Drosophila melanogaster: one gene and its partners. The gene in region 1 interacts genetically with each later gene. Each region holds a gene or a part of one and is shown on either strand. Other genes may lie near its edges. The genes, in order: Irc, Cat and Hayan.

Region 1 (10,255 bases):
AAGTGCTCCAGGGCATAGGTGGGCTTGACCTCGTCGTAGTGCCCATTTGCCTGATTCCCGCCAGGGACTCCATTTTCGTAGCCGTTTTGTGGCATCCTGAGAAATAGGGAAATGGGCATTCCAAATAACTATAGTTTTTTTTTTTTTTATCACTTATTGGTTGTTTCCATGTAAAGTTTGGCATTCAGGCGCACATATTGTAGAATATGAACTGCGCAATTCTTTGCCCTTCTTTTTGTTTTGTTGATAACACTACATTGCAACTAATGCATGACATAGAGGTAATTGACGATGAGTAATAGTTGCTCTTACACTTTTTAATACAAGGAAAATAGGTTAAACTTTAATAGTTCAATAGTAAAGAATTTTCTATCTTGTTCTGCATCTTTTACACTATAAATGCAGATCAAGGACGAAAAGATCTCTTTGTTTGAATGTTATGCTAACATAAACAGTAAAACACCGAAAATTTCCAAAGTGGCACTTTAAGTATACGGGTATATGATAGACAGGTGTTGGCAATGCTTCAATCTATGAGATAGCCTCCTGTCTATCACGCTTGATATTTGATATTTACCCATACTTGACCGAAATGGGTCGGAAGTATTTCAGGGTCCTATTGCCTGCTTTGACCATTGCGGCGGTGTGTAATCAAAGCGTTCTGGTAAACTATTGATTCCCAATGGGCAATGCGAATCAGATAGATGGCTACCATTAGATACCTTTGCATTTAGAAGTACATAGGTGTACATATGTACATAGGAGAGTACCTATTTCACCTGTGTGGTAGCTACCTGTCCGATTAGATAAACGCAATTGGCACTGTGTTTGCGATTGCTTTGCTTTTTCAGTTTGCTGGCGTTACTTTATTTCTGTTTTGCAGTTATCACAAGCCAGGAAATTCTTCGCTCATGAAGCAATCGTTAATGGCAGCTTATTACATAAGGACTCGAATATAAGAGTTAATCGCGTATTTTTAGGCCGTGATTGTGGGTCAATTATTTACCGCCGTGTTTCGAGATTTATTTATTGCTTTCACTGGCATGACATCAGATCCTAAGATACAGATGTCTGAGACATATCGTTGGTATGTTGATTTACGGGCTTAGAAGAACCGATGGATTGGTTACCTTGTGTGCTGCCCACTGTGCTCTTTATTTATTTATTTGCTCTTTTTTCTCGACCCGATCTACAACTCTCGACCCGCTGTGAATCGAATTCCAACTCCAACTAACTGACGTTGGCTGGCCCAAAGGGAATGGGAATCGGCGATATCAGCTGGCTCATTAATTGATTGCCTGAAATTGCGATGGTGCGTTATCGCAAAAGCAAAAGTGTGCCTTATCTCTTGGTGCTCATAGGCACTTTTTCAATCTTATCTGGAAGCAGAGCAACAAATACAAATACGAATACCATTCCTTATGAGAGAGTCTGCTACCCTTGGGCCTTGATTTTGATATCGGCCCACTGTGGGATCGTATGAAATGGTCAGCAGTTGACCCTGTTACCAACAACAAATCTTACTTTCAATTAAAGATAGTAATTACTAGGAATTTCTTTAAGTTCCATTAACACATTACTTAAATAGCTTATTATTGATTGGCGAAAAAGTGAAAGTGTTCTTGAATAAAACTTAAGTATAAGTTTTATATCGCAAAAATGCATCTCTATGGTTGTTTTAATCTTTACAGAAATCATTAAAAACGTCTTGATGACTATTTTTCAAAAAACGGAAATGAAAATTACTTATGTCATGACGTGCGCGCATAATTTCGATCAATTAAATCTACATACAACTTACTTTATATCTTATTCTACTCGTATTATCATATCATGTATTTTGTATGTTGCCTATGAATCATTCCTAACTTAAGAAAGTCCTTCATCATAAATAAAGAGCTTTAAAACAATCATGCTTAGGGTCTGGGGTAACTATTTTATTCGTTTATTGGCCAATAACTTTTATTGGAGCAAATTGTGACATTCTTGCCTTTTAATGACTACTACTTCACGTAATAACAGAAAAAAGCGACCCTCATTACAGTTGAAAATGGGAATTGTTGAAAATGGAAATACACGTACCGCACTGTCCGCAACACTTTCTGCAACAACTTTGAGTATAGTAATATTGCGTGACTTTAACGATCCGCTTCTGAATTGAGAGTTATCAAAAGTGTCAACCAGACACAATTGATCTGTAAATTCATGTCTATGTCATGTAATTCTACCTGTAATTCGATGTTCCCTTAGACAAAACGTATAGTTAACAACCAATATAGCAATAAGATAATAAGAATCAAGATTGAGGTATTTAATGAGTTTTGACTCTTATATATATTTTTTTTTGGTTTGGAAACAATCTTAAATGTGAGCAGCGTTGTTTTGTCAACCTCTAGACGTCTTCACAAGAGACCATTTGATTTCTGTAAGGAAACGCGAAAGAAAAAACAATCATTAAGGTTGTAGATAATTTTGGTTGCTGAGCTTATCACTCCAGTACTCAGTATAATATCAAATGTGAATCAAATTGTGTACGGACTGTGACTCAAGCGAGTGACAGGTGATCTATTATGATTTTTTTTCCAATACTAACCTGGCCGATGGCAACTGGAAGATATTCTGGGGAACAGCTGAAAGGCCGGAATTCAGGCAAAGGAGTTTGGTTCCATTGAAGTGGCGATATTGCTCCACCAGTTCAGTGTGTTTTTGGACAGCTTTTTGCTGGTTTTGTTTCAGAACATGTACGAATTGCTCAGCTATAAGAAAAGTAATTGAGTGATATATATACATTTGCTAGCAGTATAACTCATACAGATAATGCAACTGAAGGTGGGGCCAATGGATCCATGAACAGGATTCTCCGAAATACCACCCACAATGAGGTCCACATCAGCCCAACTGGCGTATATTGTTTTCAGCTTATCCAAGACCTTGTTGAATGAATATTTTAAAATTATATTAAAAAAAAATTAAAATATAAATAATAAATAAATAAAAGACCTACATCACTGGGAATGAAATGCTCAAAATCTTTCCAGCTTTCTACGGGTCTGGACAACACACACGATTCCAAGTACCGATAATATGGCAGCAGACCGTGATCTCTCCCCCTTTGGATATCGAAGGCCAAAATATCGGCATGGGTTGGCTTGGTGTCCTTGTGCCAGACGACCTGTTAGTTAAAAAATGAATTTCAGAAGCTATAAAATATCAAAATCATTTGGCTTACACCACCGGAGTAGGCAGCGTCCATCTTCATGGTCTCCTGATTGAGCAAACTCTCAAGGATGTTATTCAACTTTTGGGAAGTGTACTGCAACTTTGGTTTGTAGATTTCTTCCTTGAGCTCAAAAAGGTTTTTAGTTGGTAGCTCCTTGCTAATAAACACATATTGGTTGTTTCTGTAAGAAAGTTAAATGTTATTAAAAGTTTAAAGATTCTGGCCAACTTGTCGTATTAGTAATTTATATGGAAATGAATTTCTTAATTTATTCTTCATCAGATTGTGACACTCACTTCTCAGTACCGTAGACTACGTTATCCTTGGTCAGATTTAGGAGCTCATTGGGCAGCATAGAGAAGTAAAATCGAATGGCAGCCACCGCAAACTCATTGGAGACCTCCAAAGCACGATTAGGCTGTTTTCTCCTAATCTCACTGGACATCTTCTGGCCGAGCACCTCTGGCAGCCACTCCTCAATGACCACTCGACGATATATATCCACATTGACTGCCTTGGCAGCTTGGAAGAGCTTTTCATCGCTCCACCGGGGATTCCTTTGCTTCAGCTCGGCAGCCACTTTGTTGTGATTGCGCATGAAGATCGTGTAGATCAGTATGGAGAACGGACTGCTATTCACCCGCGAATCTCCGGCAGCAAAGCAGGTGCCATCACCAATTGTTGCCCTGGCGCAGAACGATGGTCCTTCCGTATCGGTGGCGATGGGCAGGAGGGCGTTGTCGAATTCTCCACGAGGAGTTGACCTTAACAAACCGCCCTCGAGAACACGCAACTTTCTCTCCGCCGCTGCGGTGAAACCATAGAGTTGCGATAGATCCAAGGACCCCGTGGCCTGGTTGAGCTACATACATATAATAGAAGTAAGCAATCAGTGATATTTTTACATGGTTTTTCACAATTGAATTCTTCTTACTTGTTCGGCGCCACCGAAATTGCAATCAGCCACGGCCAGAGCACTTCGCACATAGTTAAGGCAGCTGGGCACGTCGTATTTCCCACCGGGCTGGTACAGAATCGGAGCACATGCCGGGTGGTGGTGACGCGGCTGAAGGTTGATCTGGTCACGGCTGCAGCACTCTATTGGGGCTCCATTGCCTGGGAACGGAGAAATCGTTAATTGAAACAATTTTAACAATATAAATATATAAATTGATATACTTTGGTTTTAAGTATGTTAAGTACAAAAGGAAGAGGTCATCATATGAAACTCACTCATTGATTGCGACACCGGCTTGCTAAGATCATGCTCCACAAATTGAGCCCACTGAGGGAGGGCCAAATTGGAATTGCTTTCGAAGGTTTGTTGTTTGGAGATCTGAATGTGATCGGGCTCATACAGCTCCTTACTAATGGACCACGCAGCCGGCACTGTTTCGCGTCTTCCGGAATTGGGAAACATCTAAAAATACCATATAAACCATTTAATTCATCTTCTACATCCTGTTTTTCTGAGCGGATCGCACCTGATAGAAACCGTTCCTGTAGTGGCTGCTCCCAAGTAGCCTTCTGAAAGCATAGTGACCCTCTCGATTTCCCTTGAGTGAGTTCTCACACTCAGTTCGCAAGCTACTGCCCTCCGGAAGTGGTTTTTGCTCCAGGTAACTGCGGCACTTGTCTCCATCGATATTATTAGGCAGGCATTCGCTGTTGAAAACGAGCAAGCTGGACTTAAGGATCTTCAGGGCGAGCTTATTGTCCTTCTTCGAAGCTAGGCTTGGTAAAGTATCCAGAAGTTGAGCGTGTGAAAGGCTGCCGTTCTTAACAGTGATATCGGAACCTAATAGATTGTCCTCCAGTCTGAAAAAATGGTTAAGTAATATTATGTAAAATATAATGTTTAAATTTAAGCCCGAATACGGAAATATAAGTCGCGCACCAAGTTCAGCAGAAAAGTGTCACATCCTAAACATATCAGCGTAAGTCATTAAAGTTAACTGGTTTTCAAAGTAATCAGTTGTACAAACCGCTTTTGCCTATTTACTGAGTCCAACGCCGTTTCTACATATTGCAACCATTTCGAAGCAGGAATCCTGTTTAATTCGGCATTAACATCTCGGCTCGCTGAAGATTCATAAAATGATACAAATGAATTGGTTAAATTTAAGTTTATTCAGATGGGTAGTTTAATTTATAATTTTCATTATCATCATTTCTCTTGGGAATCTCAATTTCTAGGCGCCGTTTTAAGTAAATTGACTCATTTAAAGAAAACATGATTTATATCTACGGTATAATTGAATTGTTCTGGAATATTCCACAAATTGTCTTGTCAACACATTAATCAAGACAATTTAAAAGTACTATATCAAAGGTAACGATACAATCATAAAAAATGGCCTTTTGTGAATGGTTTCTATGCAGTCGTATTGTTATTGAAAGTGTGAATACCCTATTAAAGAGATATTTACCTGAATACAGTATGCTAATTCAAGTGAAATATCTCTGCATCTTACTCGAAAAATAAACATCAATTATTTCTCACGCTTATAGAAATCTATTTGGATCCGATCAGTAAACAATTGTTGATTGGGAATTCTTATTCAGCGATAAGCCCTCATATATGCGAACCTTGGGGTGAGCTTTTGGAATTTATTGGAATCTTTATCAACAAGTATATGCAAATGGGGTTTTTTGAATGTAACAATTTAGTAATGTTTATTACAATAAACAAATGTGAAAACCTGGTAAAAACCAATGCAGTCATTCATGATGATATAACGCTTGAGCACTCGCAGAAAGTGGAAAGTACATTTTACATTGATCAATAAAACAGTTTCCCATTTCTGTATATATTTTTAATACTTGTACTTAATTACAGGCTAAATAGTGCGTAGTGATTGTGGAAATTTATCGCTGTGAGACGACCAGCCTCCGCTTTACGAATGTCTTTCTGCTTTATCAATTAAATATTTATATACTTCAATAAAGTTTTTATTATCATAATAAACCGAATAACAAGCTATAAAATTAATAGGTTTCCCTCTATTTGGTCTACTTTTCTACACGAAGAAGACTGTGCTCTCTTAAAAGAAATTAGCACGAGAATGAGATACTTGACACCAAAATGTCTCTATAAACACAGAGTTTAATTTAAATACTGCTAGCGGACTCACAATTAGCATCGATTGTTGTCAATAATGATGCTCCTATTATGAAAGCCAGCAGGCAGATGTACTGAATTCCACCCATTGCAGTGTCTTTGTTCTAGAACTCGGATTTTTCAGCCACCGGTTGTGATTCACAAAATACCCGCACGTCAATGGGATTTAAGTCACGTCGCTAGCTTGTGATAAGGAAGTGATCCGAACTGCGACTCTATCGGACCTAATCCGCGCTTTCAGTCCAATTAAACCGTGTCGACGGCTCAGCGATTCGTAGACTACTGAGCTTGGGGGCAAATCTCGACAGAATCGAGTCGATGAGAATGAGAATGAGTCGGGTCGTTATCACGCACAAGGGAACCTCATCATCTGGATAATCATCATCATCATCATCTGGCTATCGTGCTGGCAGCAGACTCTCTCAGCGAATGAATAAAGTCGTACAAACGTAAACAAATGTTATTTTTGTTTTGGCTTGGTGAATCAAGCCACCCGTACAAAGCCGTACCAACACTAACATAATATGCAAATAAAGACCTCATCCGTGGGGTTCAGTTCTGCCCACGCCTTTGTCCGTCCATCTACTGATATATATGTAAAGATTTTATAAGCCATTATTAACGCCTGAGTTGATGGTTTGTCCGACAGATTGTTTAAATCCAGCGCCAAATTAATCGATAGGCTGAGCCAGTGGTTCACTAGTTCCGGCTTGAAACTAGTTCGTTTATTGAGTCACCCTAACATTACTACATGAATGTAAGAAAACTATCGATGGCGGTGGCAACAGTCCAACGATTGTTCCATCCCTATTCCTTCCACCTCTAATTTTCGGCTAAACAAGCGTTTTCTCATTTCTCAAAAAGCAATCAGATTTTATCAATAAAAGAGGACGATTTCACCAGCCATGGCAACTTTAGACGCGGAAGCCAACGAGGAGCAGTTCGGCAATGATCAGCCCAAGTCGATGTCGGGTCCAATCATTGGGATTATCTATCCGCCGCCGGAAGTTAGAAGCATCCTTTGCCAAAAAGAAAACAAACTTTTTTCTCAATTTAGCCATTTTTTACTCAAAATACATTCATTTAATACACATTTAGCGTTTCCCATACTCAGTTATCAAAGCTTTAACTATTAGATATCGTTGACAAGACCGCCAGTTTTGTGGCTCGCAATGGACCGGAATTCGAGGCGCGCATCCGCCAAAATGAGCTGGGCAATCCAAAGTTTAACTTCTTAAATGGCGGAGATCCCTACCACGCATACTACAGACACAAGGTCAACGAGTTCCGCGAGGGCAATGGTATGTTTTCGTTCACTTCCCATTAATACTTCCTCTTAATACATGAGACCGTTTCAGATGCCGGTATCACTGCCCTTGCCAGCATGAAGCAGCTGGCGGTGACCAGTGCCGCCCAACAGCGCCAGCAAGAGCTTCTCAAGCAAGTGGTGGAGCAGCAGTTCGTACCAAAGGAACCTCCACCTGAATTCGAGTTCATAGCCGATCCGCCCTCCATTTCGGCGCTGGATTTGTAAGTGTCCACTCGCCAGGAAGTTCCAATCGCTGTCTTATTGTCTTGCATATCTTTTCAGGGACATTGTGAAGCTAACTGCTCAATTTGTGGCCCGTAACGGCCGACAGTTTCTGACCAATCTTATGAGCCGGGAGCAGCGTAACTTTCAGTTTGACTTCCTGCGACCCCAGCACTCGCTCTTCCAGTACTTTACCAAGTTGCTGGAGCAGTATACCAAGGTCTTGATACCTCCAAAGGATTTGCTGGGCAAACTGCGTTCCGAGAGCGCACCGGGCAGGAGCAGCATGAACCAGGTGCTGGAGCAGGTTAAATATCGGGCCAACTGGCAGCGTCACCAAGAAGCACAACGCCGCCGTGAGGAGGAGAAGATCGAAAGGGAGCGCGTGGCCTATGCCCAAATCGATTGGCATGACTTTGTGGTGGTGGAGACGGTGGACTATCAGCCATTCGAATCGGGCAACTTCCCGCCACCCACGAATCCCGACGAGGTAGGAGCCCGTGTGCTAATGGAAGAGCGTCTAATGGACGAAGAGGGCGATACAGAAATGCAGATCGAGTCGGACGACGAGGGCGACTCCCAGGCTAACAACCTATTGGACAGCGGTCTGAAACTCTCGCAAATGGAGAACCGTGTGGGTATACAAATGAAGAACGTATCGTCGTATGGCCAGCCGACTGGCCCCAAGAGAGACAACACCCAGGTGCAAGACATGGACGAAGCCTCTAGTGATGAGGACACTCCAACCACTAAGTTGCAGCCATCTGTTGCGCCAATGCTGCCGCCCACCCACGACAAAGTGGTGGTCAAGAAATACGATCCTAAGGCAACGCAACCGAAGCAGGCGCCAATGCCTACGGATGAGTATCTCATCTCGCCGATTACAGGAGAGAAAATACCGGCTTCCAAGGTCTCGGAGCACATGCGCATCGGTCTATTGGATCCACGCTGGGTGGAACAGCGAGACAAGCATACTGTGGAGAAAATCAATCAAGACAATGTGTTCGCCGCGGGCACTGCCATCGAGGCGAGTCTCAAGCAACTGGCTGAGCGTCGTACGGATATCTTTGGTGTGGGCGACGAGGAGACCGTCATTGGTAAGAAGCTCGGCGAAGAGGAGACGAAGAAGGACGATCGCGTCACCTGGGACGGACACACGTCCAGCGTGGAGGCGGCCACGAGAGCAGCACGTGCAAATATCACTCTGGAGGAACAAATTCATCAAATCCACAAGGTTAAGGGACTGCTGCCCGACGAGGAGAAGGAGAAAATCGGCCCCAAACCGGTGGGCAACAAGGCGACGCTTTCAGCTCCGCCGCAGCCGTCAACCAAGTCGCAGCACAGTCACTCCAGCCAGAGTCAACACCACCAAGGTGGCGGAGGTGGTCACCACGGGCATCATAATCCTCATCATCACCATCCACCGCATCAGCAGGCGCCACCTCACCAGTCGCACCACCATCACCCGCCGCAGCAGCCTCAACCGGTGATGCAGCTGATGCAACTGCGTCCAACCATGATGCGTAAGTAACAAATAGTATGCAAATCTCGTCGAGGGCTTAGCGTTTTTATTTTGCAGAGCCGCCTTTTGGAGCTGGTGGTGGAGGCTACATGAACATGCAGCCTGGTGGAATCCCTCAGCAAATTGCACCTGCTCCACCTGTTGATATAATGGAGGAGGAGCCGCCTTCTAAAAAGATTCGAAGCGAGGACAACCTGATTCCAGAAGCAGACTTTATTGCCACCCACAAGGTAAGTTTGATTTTGATATCTGGCTATCTATTGGTATATAACCCATCTTAAATTATTTCAGAGCCCTGTGACCATTCAGGTTTTGGTACCCAATTCCGACAAATCAGAGTGGAAGCTTAATGGACAGATGATAGCCGTGACCATGGCACTTTCTGAACCCATTGCCAATCTGAAGACGAAGCTGCAGGACGAAACTGGCATGCCACCGGCCAAGCAGAAGATATTTTATGAGGTAAGAAATACAACTAATGTTTCGAAAACTATTATTTCAATAACATCTATCCTTCAGGGAATGTTCTTCAAAGACAGCAATACCATGGCTTTTTACAATCTGGTAAACGGAACCACGGTGCATTTACAGGTCAAGGAGCGTGGTGGACGCAAAAAGTAGGCGGATCAAAGATTAAAGGCATACCAGACACAATAAGGAGTGGGCCATATATAAAAATTTATTTGTATATGGTTTCGCATAAATTTGTAATAAATCGTCAATCACAGAATTTGTTAATTGCACTTAAGTTCTGTCAATTACAGGAGACGTTTAAGAAGGAATCAGTTTGTGAATGTACGGAGTATAAACTGGAATGTTACGTTGGGCTTTCGGAGAGTTTATGTGTTAGGATTGGACAGG
Region 2 (11,609 bases), on another chromosome or scaffold:
ATCATGGTTACAATGTTTTTGAGCATGTGGATTTCGAACGCCGCCTGTACTGCCATGATGTGTCCGATTATCCAAGCCGTGCTGGAGGAGCTGCAGGCTCAGGGTGTCTGCAAAATCAACCATGAGCCTCAATACCAAATCGTTGGAGGCAACAAGAAAAACAACGAGGATGAGTAAGTAACAATTGGTATTGGTGGCATCAAGCTTTACACAATACTTGTATAAACTATATACACCTTTACTTTGATTATTTGTTTAATAAATTCATATTTTTGTAGGCCACCATACCCCACCAAGATCACTCTGTGCTACTATCTGGGCATTGCCTACGCCTCCTCGCTGGGTGGCTGTGGAACCATCATCGGAACTGCCACCAATCTTACCTTCAAGGGCATCTACGAGGCTCGTTTCAAGAACTCCACCGAACAGATGGACTTCCCCACCTTCATGTTCTACTCGGTGCCATCCATGTTGGTCTACACCTTGCTGACATTCGTGTTCCTGCAATGGCACTTCATGGGTCTGTGGCGTCCCAAGAGCAAGGAGGCACAGGAAGTCCAGAGGGGACGAGAGGGCGCCGATGTCGCCAAAAAGGTTATCGATCAGCGCTACAAGGATCTGGGTCCCATGTCCATTCACGAGATCCAAGTGATGATTCTGTTCATTTTTATGGTTGTGATGTACTTCACCCGCAAGCCCGGCATCTTTTTGGGATGGGCCGATTTGCTGAATTCCAAGTAAGTTGATATTTATAACATATAATATTATAATTATATTTATATTATTATAATAATAGCCCGACTCTATTGGTTTTCCTGGTTAAACCCGTCCCTTTTATCTTATTCGTGCTAATTTCTCGTTTAGAACACTCGAAATACGTTAATATAAATCATATTGAATTATGAGCAATTACATAAATTATAGGAACTTTTCAAGTATTTCTCTGAACATTTATGGTTTAAGATGTGGGAAAACCAAAAAAGTTTAGCTCTTACTCATAATTAATCTTGCGAGTTATATTTTTACTTAACCTAAGTACATGCTCTTCTTTCCAGGGACATTCGTAACTCTATGCCCACTATTTTTGTCGTCGTCATGTGCTTCATGCTGCCCGCCAATTATGCTTTCCTACGCTACTGCACCAGACGCGGTGGTCCAGTGCCCACGGGTCCCACTCCATCGCTGATCACCTGGAAGTTCATCCAGACCAAGGTGCCATGGGGTCTGGTGTTCCTGCTTGGCGGTGGCTTCGCTTTGGCCGAAGGCAGCAAGCAGAGCGGCATGGCCAAGCTGATTGGCAATGCTCTGATTGGATTGAAGGTTCTGCCCAACTCTGTCCTCTTACTGGTGGTCATCCTGGTGGCTGTGTTCCTGACCGCCTTCAGCTCCAATGTGGCGATTGCCAACATTATTATTCCCGTTCTGGCCGAGATGGTGAGTTTAAAGCAATGCATTTTGTATGAAACGTTGTGTACTAAATGAGTTTATTTCTGTTTCAGTCCCTGGCCATTGAGATCCATCCTCTGTACCTGATCCTGCCCGCTGGCTTGGCCTGCAGTATGGCCTTCCACCTGCCGGTTAGTACTCCGCCCAACGCTTTGGTTGCTGGCTATGCCAACATTAGGACGAAGGACATGGCCATTGCTGGAATCGGTCCGACCATCATTACCATCATCACCCTGTTTGTTTTCTGCCAAACCTGGGGCCTGGTCGTCTATCCGAACCTTAACTCGTTCCCCGAATGGGCTCAGATTTATGCCGCGGCAGCACTGGGAAACAAGACGCACTAGATAGTTAGTAATTAGTGTAAATAACTAACATACCCGTCACAGCGATAAAGTTGAGGAAAATTTAGGGAATTTTAAACGAAAAGTGCCTTTGCTGACAGCGAAAAATGTGAAAAATATTTAACTATGTATACTTGCATTTCAGAGTTGCGAAAAGTTTTGATACAAAAGCATTACCTACTGTTTAGAAAAATGTGTTAAAAAAAAAACGTATCGCAATATACTGTTAATCAGGAATTGAACACCTGGTCTACGCACTCAGCTAAATATTTAAATACAAATTAATGTTACTTAATTGTTGCATTTAGCATAAAAATGGAAAAGATTTGGAAAAGTTAGAACAGTTTGTTCAATGGCAGCCCTGGCCTGCTAATATTTTAAATAACTAGACTGAGAGAACTTACATATTCATACATGTTTTTCAACTTGTAAAAATTTTTAAATGAACAACTCACTCAATACTTCATTGCGAACCAAAATGAACACACAAATAGCGGTAGGCTAAGCTTAAATGATACTGTGTACATTTTCAGATGATTTATGTTTTATATAGTTTGTAAAAAATATTAAATAATAAAAAGCTCAAACGACAATAATACTATACGTTTGTTTATTTCAATAACTTATTTTGTTTGATGTTCAAAGCGCGCCATGCATTTCGTATAACGATAACTCGAATTAATCGATAACTCGCCCTGCTAGGGATGCGCGATTCACTGAAAAGGTTTAAGACTCACTGGCACAGTTTTACATCTACTGGACACTTGTAGCTGAAATTTCAATTCATCAAATAAAATACATATTTTTACAAAATTACGGAGAAATAAAACATTTTACTCATAGGAGATAATGGTAATAAAAATATCATTACAAAAAGTATTAAATTGATGTATATTTCATAGGAACAAATTTGATTAAGATTAAGTTCAATCATTCGAAGTAGTAATTTCTCAGGGTACCGAAGAAATATTTAAATGGGAATTAAGAGCTCGACTATAAGTGACCCAAAAAATTAAAGAATCTCCAAACAGTTATATCAAAAAATAAAGAATTTATTATATATTCATTGCATATACATATACATTGTAAGTGTAATTTGTTTATGACTTAAACAATTTTGAATATCAAAACAAGACAAGACACATTTCGTGGTTAAATCAATTTAAGCCCGCAACCAAAGATCCGAAAAGCGTTCGCCTTTCTTAGTCAATTTCGGAATGGGTGGTGTTGGTGGTGGTGGTGTTGGTGTTGGAATAATTAGTTCCATTGGATTAATCGTAATTAAGGCCAAAAACCAAGTCTGATCCGTCGAATCCGCTCGCTCAGCTTAGAACTTCGAGGACTTGGCCAGGTTGAGTTCCTCGGTCAGCATGCGACCGAAATCGGCGTGCACCTGGGTGAAGTTCTTGACGGCCCGCTCCTGCAAGAACTGGCTGGCGTTGCTCAAATGGCCGGCAATGTTCTGCACCAGACGCTTCTTGGCGCACTTGTCGAGCACATGCACCCAGAAGTCGGTGACCTGGCCGAAGTTGTCCTCGGTGTCGCCGCTGCTGTAGCGGTAGACATCTCCAGTCACCGGACAGCAGGAGGACAAGGCCCTGGCCCTGGGGCATTCCTGGGGACCGTTGAACGAGTTGGGGAAGTAGTTGGGGGCACCATCCTGGTTGTCCGTCACATTCATGGCTCCATCCCGCTGGAAGTTCTCAATCTTCACCTTGTACGGGCAGTTCACCGGGATCTGCAAGTAGTTCGGTCCCAGGCGATGGCGATGGGTGTCCGAGTAGGAGAACAGACGACCATGCAGCATCTTGTCCGGAGAGGGCTCAACGCCGGGCACCAGGTGAGCGGGACTGAAGGCGATCTGCTCCACCTGAGGGTCAGAAAATTACCATATTAGTTATCTTTCTTTTGATTGCATTAATCTCAAATGAAGAAGAATCTATTTGAAACAAAAAAAAAAAACGAACCTCAGCAAAGTAGTTCTTGGGATTGCGATCCAGCACCATTTTGCCCACAGGAATCAGAGGGTACTCCTTCTGCGACCAGACCTTGGTGACATCGAAGGGGTTGTACTTGAACTTCTTGGCCTGCTCGTAGGTCATGACCTGAATGTACATCGTCCAACTGGGGAACTTGCAGGTCTTGATCCTGTTGTACAGATCGCGAATGCTGTAATCCGGATCAGTGCTAGCCAACTGATCGGCGGTCTTCACGTCCAGATTCTTGATGCCCTGGTCCGTCTTGAAGTGGAACTTGGCATAGATGGGCTCGCCCTTGGCGTTGATCAATTTGAAGGTGTGCGAGCCATAGCCGTTCATGTGGCAGTAACCGTCGGGGGTGCCGCGATCGCTGAACAGGATGCACACCTGGTGAGCGGACTCCGGTCGCAGGGTGAGGAAGTCCCAGAACATGTCCGGATCCTTCAGATGCGTCTGCGGGTTGCGCTTCTGGGTGTGAATGAAGCTGGGGAATAGGATCGGGTCGCGAATGAAGAAGACCGGCGTGTTGTTGCCAACCAAATCCCAGACGCCATCCTCAGTGTAGAACTTGACGGCAAATCCTCGAGGATCGCGGGCGGTGTCCGCAGATCCGCTCTCACCACCCACGGTGGAGAATCGCACGGCCAGTGGAGTGCGCTTCTTGACCTTGTCGAAAATCTTGGCGGCACAATACTGGGTGATGTCATGGGTCACCTCAAAGTAACCAAAAGCACCAGCTCCCTTGGCGTGCACGACACGCTCTGGAATCCGCTCCCTGTCGAAGTGCGACATCTCATCCAGGAAGTTCACATCCTGCAGCAGGATAGGTCCTCGCGGACCAACCGTCTGGGAGGCATCCTTGATTCCAATGGGTGCTCCATTGCCGGTGGTAATGGCACCAGGAGAAACCTGCAAAAGCAAATGAAAGTCAAGTTTAATCAAATGTATTTTAATTTTAAAATGCTATGCAACATTCAGCAACAATATATTGGTTCAAGTGTCTTACAATCTTATCGGGCCTATTGCGATAATTCATTTTTGGCCCGCGGACTTTCATTTAATCATTCGATTTTCACCAAAAGAAAAAAACATTAACATAAAGATTGCAGAGCGTTATCTCTACACGGGGGGTCATTTTGCAGTGCATATAAATTTAAAATAAGAGATCCCAGGTGTTCTTAAGAGCTTGAGGCCTTAATATAGTGATGATGTATGGGTTTTTTGCATTAACATGTCAAGATATCAAATCCGTGTGCAAGGAAAAAACCAATTAAATGAAAGTATTCAAACATCAAAATGATGTTACACAGTTTATTAGCTGGCGATCAATTAATTATTTCATTCCATTAAGCTAATAAAAGTGTATTGTCCATCTGAAATATCAATTAGCCCACCAGCTGTCCTGTCATTTATCAGTCGATCTAATCATACTCCTTGTTTTCAATTCATTTCCCTAGAGTAATCCGAGACCGCTCCTTAATCACCTTATCGTTTATTTCGCATGCAGGCCAGCCACTCATTATAAAATTAACTCAGCCAACAATTTGCAAAACTGTCACCGGCCAATGCGCACTGTTTAGCTAATGTATTTGAAACCTGAACAACGCCATGCGAAATTCTAATTCGAAAGCATTTCTAGAACAATGCATATAGAATTTTATACAGAAGGTTGTTTATCAAAGTGAAGCCACCGGTGGTGGTGGTGGTGGTGTGTCAAACATATAAATTAAGCTACTGTTTATATTTCACAACAAAGTCATTTAGATACATATAGCACTTGGGTTGGGATTACCCGGTTGGGCACTAAGACTTTTACAATTGTTTAAGGAATTAGTAGTTGACTTTATCAAATCTTAGTTCCTAGAAGTATATATGTATCTATTTAATAATAAAATCAGCTTAGACAGGCCAGTAGTATACCCACTTATTGACAAACAAAAAGCGCTACATAAAAACGAAGAAATGAATATAATTTCGAAATTATCATTCTGGAATTTATACTGGAGTCACCCTTTAGATTCGGCCGATTCAGCCGGAATGTTTTGCACTTTGAGACATTAATATGGGGCCACTTCAGGGGGCAGATACGATAAGTGAAGCAAACCGGGAATGACAATGCGAGTGGAACCGCTGGAACTGCGATCCACGTCCAACAAGTCAATCTGGTTCCTATCAGAGCCTTCGTTCTTATATATGTATGTATGTATTTGGTTGTAGATATCTCCAGCGAAGAGCAAACTGATAAGAGAACCGCAACCGATCTCGAATAGAAATGCAAAGAACACAGTCTACAGGAAAGTTTTTAATTGCAACTTGTTGGCGATGCCAATGACACAAAGATGGCAAACAGCAACTTAATGAGGCGGCTTTATAAGATCAGTGCACCTGATAGTATGAGATAAATTTGCCTTCTAGACATAATTTATCAGCAGAAGGTTACTCATTCGAGAATGAGAATGCATAGAAAATAAGCTAAAGGATTTTAAATAAGGATTTTTATAGGGTTCTTAACCGACTCACAATGACCTTACGCAATATGCATTGCGTTGCAAAATATTCCAAGTATTTTCCTTGCATTTTCGAATTTCTTGGATAACAAATTAACTCGATTGCGAGATTCCCAAAAGAACAAAGAACCCAGTTGCCATGATTATTCACCGAAACAAAGGCAAACATTTAATTGCCTGACAGAATGCAGTTTTCACAGTTTCGTCATAGAAGGTCAAAATCGACTAAAACAACACGAACCAACCAACCAACTGTGGAGCTAGCTCTCTTTTCTGGGTCAGTTCGAAACATATTCTCACATACAGTCGCTTTTAGCCGGGCGTTCCAGCCAGGTTGCATAACCAAATTGGAGAAAGAAAATTTGCGTTGACTTATGGCACTGGCACACGCATTTTCCGAAGCGGTCTAGCCTTCCGCACTCAACCCAAAACGGGTTTAAAGCCGGGTTCGTTGTCACTCGAATCACTCGCAGTCGATGCGCATTGCAACCAGTTTGTGCAACATTGAGCCGGTCGCCGCAGAGTCCATTGACTCCCAACGAATTTTCCAACTTACAAGCGGTGCAATCCAGCGATCGCGTTTCTCAAAAAGTTCATATCTATATTTGTTTATATAAAATAATGACCGCTGATTGCTTTTAGTTAGTGGAGTAATTGGCTTCGTGACTCAATGCACAAATGCACTTAAATCGCTGATGCGAGAACTAAGTTCTAGATTTAGCCTTAATTGAATAGGGTAAAAAAAAGGTATACTAAATTAAAAAACAAAAAATGATTGTATTCTTTGAGAACTGACAATTCATACTTACAAAGTATCGAAATCCAATGGAAATTTACTTTAGTTACTAACCAAATGTGGGCACTCAACAATATCTATACGGCTGATACATCTAATCTATTTGGGCCAATTACTTAGCTGTTTTGGATGCCTATCAACTGGCTGACAAATAGCTATGCAGAATTATTATTTCATTTATCGATTTTTAGAGGGCATTGGGAAAACCACAGGGAAATTGCCGAGTAAATTATATATAGATACAGTATCTATGGGTGAGGCTTACTATTGATTTTGTTATATTTCATTCCTTTTTATAAAATGTAACAGCATATTTGATTTCAAAAATGATTGCAGTGTATAAAATGTTGCAATTGTGGAATGCCACGAATTTAGGAAAGTACAATTTTCCGAGTGTGAACAAACAATATTTGTTCAAAATTTTAAGAGGGCACGATTCCACAATTGAAATCATGCATTTAATCTAAACCAAAAGCGAAAGCGAATAATTAACACAAAAGTGCAAACGAACAAATTCGAATACTCAAATCCAATGCACAATGCAAGTGCCAAATGAAATTGGAAGTGCTAAGTGAAAACAGCGCTGAAAAATGAAAATAGACTAAGGTAAGAGGTCGCCCAAGGTTAGAAAATAGGTTAGCTAGACTAAACTTTGGATTTCCTTAAGAAGGAAAATAAAAATAAAAGGGAAAATAAAATTAACTTTGGATTAGGTACAGAAAACACAAATCCAATAAGAATTGCCACACTGATAAGGTTTATCAGTTCACTTCTGATAAGATTTCTACAAATAAATAGAAGACCCAGAGAGGCGGCTTTTGAACTTCGAACTCTGGGGAAACGACTTCATCATTACTGGCATTTGTTGGACAAGCCTTTGTTGTTTTTCGCATTTTAATAATTAATGGAATTAATGGAAAGTACAGGCTCATAGCAATCGTTACTGAAATTGTCTTGTTTTTTGTTTATTTCATTTCGTACAATGCTTCTCCCTTCTCTTTTTGTCTTTTTTGCCTTTCTTGTTTTCTTATTTTCCTGCCGGCACACACACGCACACACATGCAGTTGCGCTCTCTCGCGCTCGCACACCAACACACTCACCGTTTGGGAGTTTTTGTAGTCAATCAACTGATTGGAAGCCGCATCGCGTCCAGCCATTTTGCTTAAAATTTAGGATATTTGCTCAACGGGATAACCAGAATTTAGAAACACTCGAACTGGAAAGTTGTTGATTTCTAGCCGCCTTCGGTTTTTTGCTGTGACTGCGTCGAGAATTCTGTCAACTAAAGCAACTGCAGCGCAGTTCCATTTGTTTTTATAGCCCAGCACCACGTACTTGTTGTTGCTCAGGGTTGTCGAGTGGGCCGAAGATATCGATATTTCGATTATAGTTGGAAATATATCGCTTAAATATTACATAATATCCATTATTATTCATATTTGTATTTAAATAGTATGAAATTCATTTTCAAAGTTTTTTTTTTGCACTGTCCATTTAAAAACGTGTCCCAACACCATTAAGATTTATTATTGATAATTTATAGTACCTTCGCTCCATTTGCTGCCCAGAAAGGTGAATAAATTTAAACTGTTTGTTAAGTTATTTATTTTTTTAATTTCATGAAAATGTCGGCATCATTAAGTTATAAACTAAGTCGGCTATCTATTGGTGCTCCTGCCAAATAAATATCTATGGCCTCTTTTTTTCTTAAGTTGTGAACCTCTTCCAGTGGTGCCTTTAAAATAAATGTACTTCATTCATATAATATATGTAAATATCATTAAACATGTTAAAATTATAAACTTCAAGGAAATCTCCAAATGGCGGCTATCTTTCTGTGGCTCCTGCCAAGCTAACATCTCTGTCTTTCTTTATTTTAGCGTACAAAAATATCTAATTAAATGAAACTTAGAAACTAGCATCAACTAGCATATGTATCTTGTTCTCTAGTCACAACTTAAAAAAATCACCTAACCACCTGTGGTTCCCATCAAGTAAATATCCATGGACTGCTTGTCCAGGACGGTCGGGCGCCTCTTTGGAATCGGCTGAATGTGCGGCAGTCGCGTGCCATTCACGGCGTTCAAACTGAGATTCGAGTTGGGGTCGTAGTCGTCGCAATCCGGAGTAGTCTGGGCCAAGCTCAGCCTCTGCGATGGTTTCACCATTAGGTTTGCCCTCGCAAGCTGGCGTTTTTGGATCGCTGCAGCGCTGGTAGTGGGCACATTGTCTGAATCTTGACTTAAGCTTCTGTGGGAGCACAGCTCTTCATCGGGAGTCACAATGCCCCCCTCACTGTATGAGGCACCGAATTCGGAACTTTGGCCAGAGACATGCAAAGAGGGCGCACTTTGGTGCGACGATGACTGACTGCCGCTGACGTCCGTAATGCTCGCGGCAGTCTCCCTGGCCATCTTGTGCCGTTTGGCATTGTCGTTCTTCTTCCGGTAGAGTCGCACCAGGTCCGTGTAGCACTTGCAGCAGATGAGGTTGCCCGCCCGAATTTCGCTGTTCAGCAAACAGGCGAAGCGCACCAAATATTTGTTGTTCAGTTGGCGATACGGCTTCCGCAGCGTGTGGTTGCCGACTGCGCAGAATCTCCGCTCAACGCGCGAGCCCTCGTCAATGGAGGCCATCTGGAATAGATCATGCACCTAGTTCTCCACAACTCGGGCTTACAAAACAATGCTTACACTGGCATTTTAACTTCCAAACGCAACAAAACGAAACATGAAGCCAATTGTCCCGCCACTTTGGAAACATATAGTGTGACCACATATGGATTGCTGAAATATACCAAAATTAGGCGTAAAATAAAATGCATTTAACTAATAAACAAATTCAATTTTTTTAAATGTTATAAAATCTAAAAACATACTGACATGGTCACAGTTTCTCACAATTTAAATGTGGCTTATTGTAATGCCAGTTAAGTAATTAATATGAAGAAACTATTCGTTTAAAATTGACAATAATCTAATTATTGGCGTGTTCGATGTTCATGAAATACTTATGTTATATCAGTTAGTTTGAAAATTGACTGTATTTCTTCTGTTGGTTGTATCAATTAAAATGAGTTTAAAAACACATTTTTTAAAACCCTAAAACCACATTCAAATCAAACTGTAATTATACCAACTAATACTGAAAATACCGAAAACTGCAAAATCAGCTGCTCGCCGAACAGCACTCAGCGTGCTGTTGGACGCGAAATGTTAGCCCATTAAACCCAGGTTATTTTTTGTCATTCATTGTTCATACGTTCGTCTCGTCTGATTTTCTTTTTATAAAAACACAATTAAAATTTCAAACGAATACACATAATTTTTATAAATATAATGTAGTGCAACACGTATATGTATAATATAGCTTAATACCAAGTGCAATCCCTCGAAAGATAACTTCAAATGGCAATCTAATTTACGTAAAGAGAAGAGACAAAAAAAGAAACGGCGCGTGTGAAATTTTTTCAAGCAAAGCAAAGGAGAGAAGTTGGAGCAACAAAAAAAAGAGGAGAGAAAAAATACAGCAACAACACACAAAGTAGGCCAACAACAACAGCAAGAAAAAAGCAAGCAAGCGGCAACAACCACAGCAACAACAATAACAACGTCGAGCGAAAGAAGCAAAAACCTTGTAATTGTGTCAATAAATGTTTTAAATAATATTTCCTTTGGGAAAGGCACCGTGTCTGTGTGCGCGCTTCGTGGTGTGAGTGTGCGAGACAAGTGAAATTTTCTTTGTTTCCCTGCGGGGGAGGAAAATACAAAAAAAAGAGTCAAGAAATAAAGTTGCCTTGAAACAACAAAAAACGCTGCCCCAAAAAAAGTGTATGCATGTGTGTGTGTCTGACTCGTTGTCTGCTGGTGTTGGTGAGTGTCTGGCCGTGTGTGAGTGTGTGTGGCAATGAACGTTGAGCAACAATAATTTTATTTATTTGGAATTTTGCTGCGCTGTTTGCTTGCTTTTATCTTTATAAATATACGCACAACTACAGCGCGATAAATGAATTATGAAAATAAAAGTCCCAAGTGCTCTTTTAGCAATGAAAATGTTTAGCCAAAAAACGAAAAGCAACAAAAACAGCGGCTTTAAGGCTGCTGGACAGGTTTCCCACGGCTAAAAAAAATGTAAAATACGAAAAGGAGCAACACGACGGCGACGTAGAAGAAGAAGCAGCAGCAATGCGTGAAACGCGAAAGCAAAGTGAAATTCAAGACAACAACAACAACAAACACGAAAGCATAGCGGCTAACAGAAACCGTTATTCAACAATTTCTTGAATAAAACAACAACGACAACAACAACAACATCGTAAAGCATACAAGTGAAAGAAGGCACAAAATACTGGTTTACACAAAATAAAAAAAGATAAAGCAGAAGAAAGAAAGCAAAGAGAGAAAAAGTTGCTGCACGAGAAATTTCGTTCGTGTATGGTCTCCCCATTTCTATCTCTGCATATATGAGAGTGTGTGGTGTGTGTGTGCATTAGTGAAGTAAAGTGAAAAGCAATGCTGCAAGGAATTACAACAACCACAG
Region 3 (10,003 bases), on another chromosome or scaffold:
GCTCACCAGGACATTCATTCATTAAAGTCAACCGGAGCATCGCTTGGCGAGTGGGTGTATGGTGTTGTATGATGGTTTCATGGGTCAGTGTATAAATAGGCCTTGGTCAGGCTGAAGTGTGAATGTATTTGGTCACAATACACACACACACACACACACACACGCACACACCCACACAAAGAGTCGGAAAGGCAAATAAGCGGCCAATAAAAATATTATTAATACGCCAACGATAACAAGACACATAGCACACGGGTTTGCACGGAGGAAAACGTCATTGGTGGCTGCTAACGAGCTTATTTATTATAACTATTCCATTCTGATATCACCACTTATCAAAGTGAAGCCTTTGAACGCATTACCGATGTACCCGGTCAGTTTGGCCATTCGGCATTCGGCCAAATGAGCCATCATTTATTTCTCTCCGTGTGGCCGTATCGTCACATCGTTGTTGTTGCCCCATCATTCAGGCTGATGGAAATGGAAATGGCCTGGGAAATGGGGAAATGGGGCGAAGGCGATGGCGAAGGGAAATTAGCAGCAGCGCGCACATCAGCCATCAAGAGCAGTTGGGTGTGTTTTAGCCATAAATTTATTAACTTAGTGTCACATTTATAGCCACTCGGCTAACCGCCAACACCGCACAAAGAGCGACGGCCAACAAGAACAAAGTTTCACCCACCGGACAACAGGAGTCCAGGACGTTAGGATGATGAGGATGCAATGACAGATGAGGAATTTAAAATTCCACTTGAATATTCGCTGACCGATTCGGCGTGAAGCATTTTCCTGGGATGGATGAATGGATGGATGGTCAAGTGCGAAATTCCCACGGGCGAATCCAATTTATTCTAGGGTTCTGCGCATAAATTCTCAAGTTCTTAAATAACATTTTGATGGGCTGGTTTGGCTTCAAAAAGGCATAATTGTTAATTATGAGTGGCGGAGTGTGTCACTCGCAAAAATTGAATTAAATTAAATTAAATACCAGGCGATCAATCATTTTGGCTTATGCCATAACATGCATAATTTTAAACAATCAATAATAATGATTGTAATACAAGCATAATGATAAATTCGCTTTAATAGTTAATGGGGCATAAAGGCGCATTAAATTATTCCATATTTATTAGAACAGGCTAAATTTCATCTCTCGGTCACATTACTCATTGGGTTAAAAGCAATGGAATATTCATTTAATATGCATCTAATTTCATTATAGGATACAAATAAATTGTCTTTTTAAAAGCCAACTCTTCACTCTTTAAACTTTATGTTGTTTGCAGTTTGGCATTTTCAGCTGCATTGTTTCAAATGAAATATAAGAAGATTTCATTCCATCCGTTTGAGATAGATTGTTAATGAAACATCAGGAGATTTTATATTTCACATGAGTTAAGTAATTATAGTCATAATAAATAATAATAATAATATTAACTATAGTAATAATGCTAGTTATTATAGTATAATAAATATTTCAAGTGATAGATAGTTTTAAATTTAATCGAGATATTAAAATGTCACAGTTTTATTATTCTAAAAAAAAACTATTTTGAACTAGTATAAGCTTTCTTTTTGAAATTCTAATAGTTTCTCGATTCTGAGTAGCACTGTTTTATGGTATTTCACCTCGCTAAGCGATTTGCGCCCATTTCCCGGGAATGCTAAAGGTAATTCCGAAATCCCGGCGAGAATGCCAGGACATGGCTCATTTGTCAAGTTGGCTTAGCCAGACTTAGCCGATTTGCTGGATGCGCGGGGGCGGGGTGTCAGGAATCGGAATACGGAATACGGAGCACGGAATACGGAGTACGGAATCATTAGTCCCGGTGCCTTGGCACCTGTTGTGTGGTCCGCGTGCGCCTACGCCCGAGTCCGGGCTGTGTTCGAACGGATCAGGAAACGTTATCGCCGGGCACGATGTGGAAACAGATGTGCCGCCGGAATCAATTTCCCACCGTGTTAGTACATGCCACCCAAATAGATAGTGGCTATACATATGGTGGGTGGACTGGGCGTACGATAAACACAGTCACTGTCCATCAGATAAGCACAAGCACACAAAGATCGACTTACATTTACGATTGCAACTGTTTGGTGGAAGTTTCAACTTTTTGGGGTCAGGTCAGGCCGACGGACTCATGAATTCGGGCGGTGGTCACTCAAAAAAAAAATGTAACAAAAATAAAAGTAAATAAACAAACACGACGCGAACTCGGGACTTGTGTTAGTTCAGTTTAGTTTAGTTCGATTCGGTACACTTCAAACGCCTAACGGTAATCGTGTTCAAATTCCAACGGATTCGAGACTTTATGTGCGTTAGGAATGCACCTTCACCGCTGAGCAGGCAAACCGACAGCTTCGCAGTCTCGCGACCAACTGAAGCCCGAGGAGTCCTGGCAGCGCCATTTAAGCAGCTCCCACTTTTGCTGCCCGCAGGAGTGCGGCCTTGTGGGGAGAGCGGGGGCTGGTTTGCTGCGAGCGGACGGGGCCAGTGGGTCGGTGGGTGGTGGGTGGTGGGTGGTGTTTGGCTGGCTGTTTGGCCGCAGTAAGCCGGCAGCACTTTGTAACGGCGGCGAACAGCTGACTGCAAAAGCTCAGTAAGCAGCTTTTGTCGCAACTTTCGAATGCCACACCTGGCAATGCCGCGCGCAGCGAGCTTTTGCGCTCTCAGTTCTGTTTACGTACGAGCGGGTGAGGCGCAGACAGCGATAGTTTGACAGCTGTCCCGAAACCAGGGCTGCTGCAAAACGTCAGTGGGTAAAGTGCTTGGCACTTATGATACCTCTTAGTTGCCTCAGATGTTTGAATTTCTATTACACTATTATACTACACTATTATACTACACTATTATACTACACTATTATATAAAATAAAATCGATTCTAACATTTTGAGGAACTGAATGAACAACCCTTATGGCTTCTTTAATGACACTCACTGAATTGTGTCGAACTTTGTCTAAAGACAAAATACCTTTATCAAACACTTTTGATGGGAAACACCATCCGATCCGTTCAAACTAAATTTATTGCAGATCAAATGACGCCTCAGAAACGATTCGACGGCCACACGATACCCTCGATATAGTCGAGAAAGGAGGAGACGCGTGTGTAGAGGCCCGGGGTCTTGGTGGCGCAGCCGAAGCCCGAGGAGATTACGCCTACGATCGAGTAGGTGCCGTCGACGTCGTCAATCTCCAGGATGAGAGGTCCACCGGAATCGCCCTGACAGGCGTCCTTTCGCTGATTCTTGTCCGCCGCGCACAGCTGCGAGGCAATCACGCCCCTTCTCAACGTCCGGTTGGCACTCGGCTGTTCCGCAAAGGATGCATTGCACTCGTCGGCCGGCACCAGATCCAGAGCCGCCCGCAGCAGGATCTTTGATACGGCACGATCTGTAAAGACACCATCGAACACAATCCAATCCTGCAGTTTACGCACACACAACTTACTGGTCACATTCATTACACCCCAACCGGCGACGAAATATTTGTAGTTCGCTGGCGGATCACTGCGATCCGTGTAGAGACAGGCGGGACGGATGACATCGGACTCCTTGGCATCCTCGGCCAGCTGCAGAATGGCGATATCGTAGTACTTACTACTGCCGGAATAGTCCGGATGAATTTGAACATCAATCTGCCAATGGAAGTGAGTGAGTTCAACTGGTTATCTCGCACCATGTGTCACATGGCGATACCAACCACATTGATGTCCTGGTAGCCCGGCTCGGGATTTTCGATGTTCAACGCACCCAGACGGACGAAACTGGGTGTGCTATCGTCACTATTGACGCAGTGAGCCGCTGTGAGGACGAATCGACTGGCGATGAGCGATCCACCACATCGGAACGCTGCGCTCCCGAAGGAGTTGTACGCAATGGCCGCCATGTGGGGATAGACGCCCCTATCCACCCGTTCGCCGTCCAGAATGTGCACCGTCAGGGGCTTTCCACCGGATCGGATCTTCTCACACGCTATCATCAGATGATAGGAAATTTAATATATATTGTATATAATATATCTCCAAAGATATTTTCATATAAAATATTCCAAAGAATGCGCAACTCACCTGCCACCGACGGTCGCTCCTTCTCGGGAAGATTGACGCGGGAGGGATTGGGATTGGGCGTCGTTGGCCTGCGAAAGACAAGGTATATCAGCGATTAAAATTGGGCTCACGATGGTTTCCACCTGAGACAGAGACTGCATGCGGCTCCCTGGCTGAGGCCAACTGATGTCCATGCCAAAAGAATGCTCAGACAAACCGCGTCTCGGCTGGATTGAAGATGCTGGGAGCTGGATCCGCGTCTAGATTATTGCTGACATCGTTCCAGGGTTCCTGGGGCTGGGTATCCTTGTCTCTGTCCTGGCCCCGAAATCGGTAGGGTTCAAAGGGATCGATCAATTGCGTGGGCGTGGGTGCGGGTGTGGGCGTGGGCGTGGTTTGCAACACCATGGGCACTTCTCGAGCAGGCTCAATCTGCATTCCCTGCTCCCGCAGCCGATCGTTGACCAAATGTATGAGGTTGTTATTATTGGGGCTTGGATTGGTATTGAAATTGGAATTATTCGGTCTTTGGGGTCGTGATCGAGGCGTGGTCAGTGGACGGTTCACAATCCGTGGCTCACGGCCCCACTCCGGTTCCATAAAAGATCTCTGGGTGCTTGCAATGGGTTGAGTCTTCGAAGGAGCTATGCCCCAAGCTCCAACGCTTTGGATGGGCAACTTCATGGGTTCGTGTGTGGGCAACTTCATTGACTCGTGAGTGGGCATCTTCATGGACTCGTGAGTGGGCGTCTTCATCGACTCCTGTGTGGGCAACTTCAAGGACTCGTGGGTTTTCTGCGGCTTTACTGTGGTGCTTAGCAGCTTGTTGAAGTCAAAGAAGTTCTGATTCTCGTCCAGCCGACTTTCCCGCTCCCTTTTCCCCTCGGTGGTCGTTGGAGGCAGTGGCTCCGGTTCTGGTGTTGGTTCCCGCTTGGGTTCGGGTAAACTGCTGCGCTCGGAGCTCGTAGCATGGAATTGGACCTCACGACCTCGACTGTGGGAGTGAGAGGTGTTAGTCTGGCGTTGGACGCCGGTAACCGGGGCATGCAACATCGGTGGGCACACAGCACAAGCGGGACACACACAAACACATATATATGGTGCACAAACAGGAGGACAAAAAACAGGACAATAGAGCGCAGAGGCCAAGGAGACAAGGACACGCTTACTCAGTGGCACAGCAGGCGACGGTGGGGCAGCAGATGATCTCCTCGCGGGCGCCAAAACCACAACTCGGCACCTGGCTGGTGGACAGCGTGCCCGACTTCAAATATCCTCTGATGTTCTCGCAGGCTGAGGAGGAGAGGCAGATTCCCGGTATGTCCGACCTCACCTGGCAGGGATCGCCCTCTGCAACGAGAAATGCGGCCAGCTGGCAAGGATCTAGTGTACGCGCCGCAAGACATCCTACATACCATCCCCAACTGTTACATACGCAGAAGTTGTCAGCACCAGGAGACCCAGAAGGAAGTACCTTCTCGCCGAGATCATCGCCATCGGTCAGCTGAAATTCCCAAAAGCATTAGTGAATCCCATTCTACTTGGTAACGCTTATCAGCCTTATCAAAACCGAAAATGGAAAACATCATTTTCACAACAGGGGAAGCCCTCGTCGAAATGGTAAGGGAAAAACAAACGAGATCTGTTTCTTTCAATCGACTCGACTTTCAGCTGATTAAACCGATCCACATCCACTGCCATTGACCCATTTACGATTTTTTTTTTTTTTTAATATGGGAACACCACAAAAGCATTCTCCATATGAACTGCTCGATTGTAGTAAGCCAGACTTGATTGATTTCATTTGAGAGACTTTGTGTTGATGGAAAGTTTGTGTTTGCCGATTACGACGAGCATTTCACCAGCAGCGCCGCCAGGTGAGATCAGATGATTCATGGGAGGCATGCCGCTGGGATTTTACCACCGGCTAAAGACGTGTACTGCCAACTGATATCGCAGCTACGTCGGTAATAACCGATACGAAAGTAACACCTGACAATTATGCTGCTCAATTGAGCAGAGAGTCGTCAATGTGTCTGCAGTTCAACTGAATCATATATATCCGATTGAAGCAATGCAAAAGTGTCATGACATCACCTGTTATCGGCCCAAATGAAATTGTATTAAATAGGTATGCGATTGCTAATCAGCTTCCGGCCTTCCGCAGTAATTGCCCATTGTAAACACGACGAAATCAAAAGTAGAACATGCAATACATAGCCCCACATCCCCACATCCCGCAATCCCAATGTCCATTGTCCACTGTTCACTGTACACCGACGTCCGCCTTATCGAACGCACCTTTGACACGACCTTTTTTCGGTCTCTGATAAGGGAGTAGTACGTCTACGTATCGATGTCGTTTATTGAGTGCGTCGAGCACTGTGGTGACTATGGCAATCGGGCACCGCACAATACAATACAATTTAATTCAATACCACATAAACAAAACAAAATCCAAGGGAATTACGAAAAAAAAAAATAAAAAATAAAGAAAAAAACACCGCAAAAAGCACACCAGCAGAGTCAATAAAGCTAAAAACCGGTGGCTATCACAAATCGCGGCGGTATGGAATCTGCTGGCTATTTTCCCGGCTCTGACCGCTCAGCAACGCATCGCCCAAGCAACTGAAGCCAAGCTTCTGAGCCCCAGCTGGAGCTGGAGCTGGAACCGATGAGGCCCATTTAGACGTCGACCAAGAAGCGCCGGACCCAGCAGCTGATAGCACCCAGAGCCGATCCTCTCCCGCTGAGCGGCGAACCGGTTTCCCATTCCACCACTTCGCAGAATCGCAGAACGATCCGAAGCGATCAGAAGCCAGAGCACACAAAGCACAAAGGCAGCCTGTAATTAGCGAGTGGGTAAGCAACAGGCGAGCGGTATGGACTAAAGGATACCGCGTAAGGTCTATGCTGCGCTTGGTGACCCCGATATTTACACCTTTAAAAGTCGAGTATAATTGTGTCACAGAATCGTGTTTTAGAACTTACCATATATATAGTTTCAATTGCAGTAATCTTGTTTTTTTTTTTTTTGTATAATTCTTCTCTAATTAAAGTGGTGACCCAGATACTTACTTTCTTGCCTAGGTTGCGACCTAGGTGGTGACCCAAGAAGTCCTTTTCAACTTATAGTCTGAAACATATGCTTAAAATTTAAATTTCTTATGACAAATCTTTCTGAAATAAATGCATTCTGTTTGTATTTCCCCATTTTTTTTATACAGTGCAGCAATTCAATAAAAGTGGTGACCCAGAAATCCCTCTAAAATTAAACAGAACCAGAAAAATCACTTCACAGAGTTCTGGAAACCGAACTGCCAGAAATAATATTGTACCGATTGATTATATCTTAAAACGTATCTACTTTATTGGTATTAAATGGTTCGATCGCGGTGCTCATAGAGATCACAGATGAGTGTTTGCCAATTGCGATGGATCAGGCAGTCCTGATCCCAAATAGAAATAATATACATACAAAAAAAACAAAAACTTTACTTTTCCCAACTTTACACCCGATTGTCCGGCCAGACAATGCCCTCGATAAAGTCCAGATAGGACGAGACACGCGTATAGAGTCCCGGTGTGACGGTGGCGCATCCGAATCCCGACGAGATGACGCCCATGATGGTGTACATGCCGTCCTCCACGTTGAGCTCATGAATGAGCGGCCCACCGGAGTCGCCCTTGCATGCGTCGGCGATGAGCTTTTGATCAATGGCGCACAGCAACGAATCGATCACGCCCTGCTTGAGCAACCTTATGGAACCGGGCTGCTCCGCATAGGATATATTGCATTGGTCCAGAGGCACCAGCTCCAGACCAGCGCGCAACAGGATCTTAGATCGCGCCCGAGCTGCGGATGGTTAGCCATTAGTGGAAGTGGAGGATATGGAACTTTTTGTGCTACCCACTGGTTACATTTAGGACGCCCCAACCGGCGACAAAGAACTTGGAGTTCGATGGCGGATCGGTGGCATCCGTATGGAGACAAGCGGGCCGGATGTTATCCGTCTCGACGACATCACGTTCCAGTTCCAAAATGGCGATATCGTTGTACTTATTGCCCACATACTGCGGATGGATCTTAACGCTTCGCTGAGATATGGTATCGATCAGAATGGCTATAACTTAATGCATAAGCACAGTGACTCACTATGACGATATCCTGGTAGGAATGGTCTGGATTTTCAATGTTCACAGCTCCCAAGCGAACAAAGGCCGGCGTATTGGCATCGGTGTTGACACAATGTGCGGCGGTCAGGACGAAGCGACTGGCGATTAGCGATCCGCCGCATCGGAAATCGGTGCCAAAAGTGATGTAACCAATGGCCGCCATATGGGGATATACACCCGGATCAACCGGATAACCGCCCACGATGTGTATGACCAATTGATTGCCGCTCCTCTGCTGTTTTCGCTCGCGAATCTTCTTGCAGGCTATATCGTGGGATTGGAAATAAGTAGAGGAACTCTAGGAGTGATCTGATCAAAAGAGTAAGCACCTGCCACTGCTGGGCGATCACCGCTTCCGAACGTGGGCACATCGACACGACCACTGGTCATTGGAGCTTTTGTGCTTGTGGTGGAGCTTGTGGAAACGCTTGTTATGGTACTGCAAAGGCAAACAACCCATTTCTATGTGATCCCAATGGAAGCAATTCGCGGATTACCTATTGTCACAGCACGGCTTGGTGGGACAGCAGAAGATCTCACCCCAAGCGCCGAGGCCACAGCTGGGCACATCGTTGAGCGTCAGGACTCCCGACTTGATGTAGCCATCGATTAGGGGCTCACAATCGGAGGATGTTCTGCAGATACCGGGCATGGTATCCGTCACCTTGCAGGCCCGACCCACTGAAACAAACGCAAGATTCGAGTCGGGCAAATACTTGATGTGACCTGGCTGAGATCGGAACTCACCTGTGACGGCTGCTTCCACGGAGGAGCAGCTGATGAGCACAAAAGTGCCGAGTAGCAGGGACCACTTCAATGGCATCTTAATTCGCTGCAATTAATGGAGAATGTAAATGAATGAGCTTCGCCATGATTTTCTGATTACAATAAACCAGCAGCCATTGACCAACTTATTGAGTACAGATGCTAGACATGAACTACAGTCACTCCTGGCATTGGAGGGCCAAGTGGGTGAGGAAAACTCAAGATTATTTTTTTCTTCAAGGCAGTATTTCACCATCCAACGGAAAACATAACATGGAAAGGTTGGATCGGTTGATTCACCTTTTTTTTTTGGCGACTGTAATCTTCGTTCTGTCACTCAGTACGAGGGGTATTTATAGCTGATATCGAAAACCTCCTAAACTATCTGAGTTGGGGATTTGTTTCTGATAAGGACAGAATGCTGTTTAGTTTGGATAGAGCCGCTTACGCTTATTGATTGTGAGTGCTGAACTAGCTTGCAGTAATTATAAGCTAATCACATGTATGATTGTACGACTTATGCTCATGGCACGAACCTTCCACGGAACCCACCTTCGACACAACCTTTTGCCAGACTTTGATAAGGGAATACGTCGCTGTTTCGATGTTCTTCGAGTGCACCGATCACTCCGAGTATGGCAATCGGAAGCACAGCACAAAAACACAAGGAATACAATACAATAAATCAAGCAAAACACGAGGAAACCAGCAAAAACAAAACTGCACACGACGTAAACTCAATGGAGCTTTAAAACCGGTGGCTATGGCGGAGAGAATCTGACCGATATGGTCACAGACGCGGCGGATTGAAACGGTCAGGCTGGGACGACGGTTCTGACCGCTCAGTAAAGCATCTCCAGTGCAACTGAATCCCAATCTGTGACTAGTCCAATCTACACACTAGGCGGCAATAGATTGCTCTCCAACCGGTTTTCATCTCTGAAAGATTCTTGAATCCAGAGCCACAACCGATCCGAAATAATCGGAAAACCCGAGCAATGCTTTTATGAA

What was found.
Region 2: of Irc (region 1) and Cat, changing one suppresses a phenotype caused by changing the other (phenotypic suppression), as found in Drosophila melanogaster (one study listed by BioGRID).
Region 3: of Irc (region 1) and Hayan, changing one suppresses a phenotype caused by changing the other (phenotypic suppression), as found in Drosophila melanogaster (one study listed by BioGRID).

The regions. Positions count from the first base shown.
Region 1 is NT_033777.3:16,999,251-17,009,505, reverse strand, and holds Irc (Immune-regulated catalase), read right to left. Parts: upstream 6,632-10,255; 5' UTR 6,431-6,631; coding exon 6,355-6,430; intron 5,303-6,354; coding exon 5,206-5,302; intron 5,039-5,205; coding exon 4,705-5,038; intron 4,641-4,704; coding exon 4,454-4,640; intron 4,337-4,453; coding exon 4,155-4,336; intron 4,083-4,154; coding exon 3,517-4,082; intron 3,402-3,516; coding exon 3,230-3,401; intron 3,173-3,229; coding exon 3,005-3,172; intron 2,931-3,004; coding exon 2,813-2,930; intron 2,757-2,812; coding exon 2,594-2,756; intron 2,424-2,593; coding exon 2,393-2,423; 3' UTR 2,298-2,392; downstream 1-2,297. Other genes in the region: CG8907 (uncharacterized protein), read right to left, coding at 1-96, 578-636; Sf3a1 (splicing factor 3a subunit 1), read left to right, coding at 7,247-7,355, 7,478-7,642, 7,700-7,871, 7,933-9,395, 9,452-9,624, 9,686-9,856, 9,914-10,015; CG3534 (uncharacterized protein), read right to left, coding at 10,234-10,255.
Region 2 is NT_037436.4:18,819,404-18,831,012, reverse strand, and holds Cat (catalase), read right to left. Parts: upstream 8,410-11,609; 5' UTR 8,228-8,409; coding exon 8,171-8,227; intron 4,676-8,170; coding exon 3,755-4,675; intron 3,658-3,754; coding exon 3,115-3,657; 3' UTR 2,825-3,114; downstream 1-2,824. Other genes in the region: Indy (I'm not dead yet), read left to right, coding at 1-173, 279-737, 1,056-1,434, 1,500-1,790; HipHop (HP1-HOAP-interacting protein), read right to left, coding at 9,041-9,706. UniProt on the Drosophila melanogaster protein: Catalyzes the degradation of hydrogen peroxide (H(2)O(2)) generated by peroxisomal oxidases to water and oxygen, thereby protecting cells from the toxic effects of hydrogen peroxide.
Region 3 is NC_004354.4:18,477,089-18,487,091, forward strand, and holds Hayan (hayan), read right to left. Parts: upstream 6,685-10,003; 5' UTR 6,353-6,684; intron 5,556-6,352; 5' UTR 5,549-5,555; coding exon 5,467-5,548; intron 5,402-5,466; coding exon 5,221-5,401; intron 5,046-5,220; coding exon 4,269-5,045; intron 4,141-4,268; coding exon 4,073-4,140; intron 4,045-4,072; exon of another isoform or gene 3,978-4,044; coding exon 3,706-3,977; exon of another isoform or gene 3,641-3,705; coding exon 3,454-3,640; exon of another isoform or gene 3,397-3,453; coding exon 3,050-3,396; 3' UTR 2,895-3,049; downstream 1-2,894. Other genes in the region: psh (persephone), read right to left, coding at 7,561-7,907, 7,966-8,149, 8,208-8,491, 8,557-8,666, 8,725-8,908, 8,975-9,050. UniProt on the Drosophila melanogaster protein: Serine protease which, by converting prophenoloxidase 1 (PPO1) into its active form, plays an essential role in the melanization immune response to physical or septic wounding.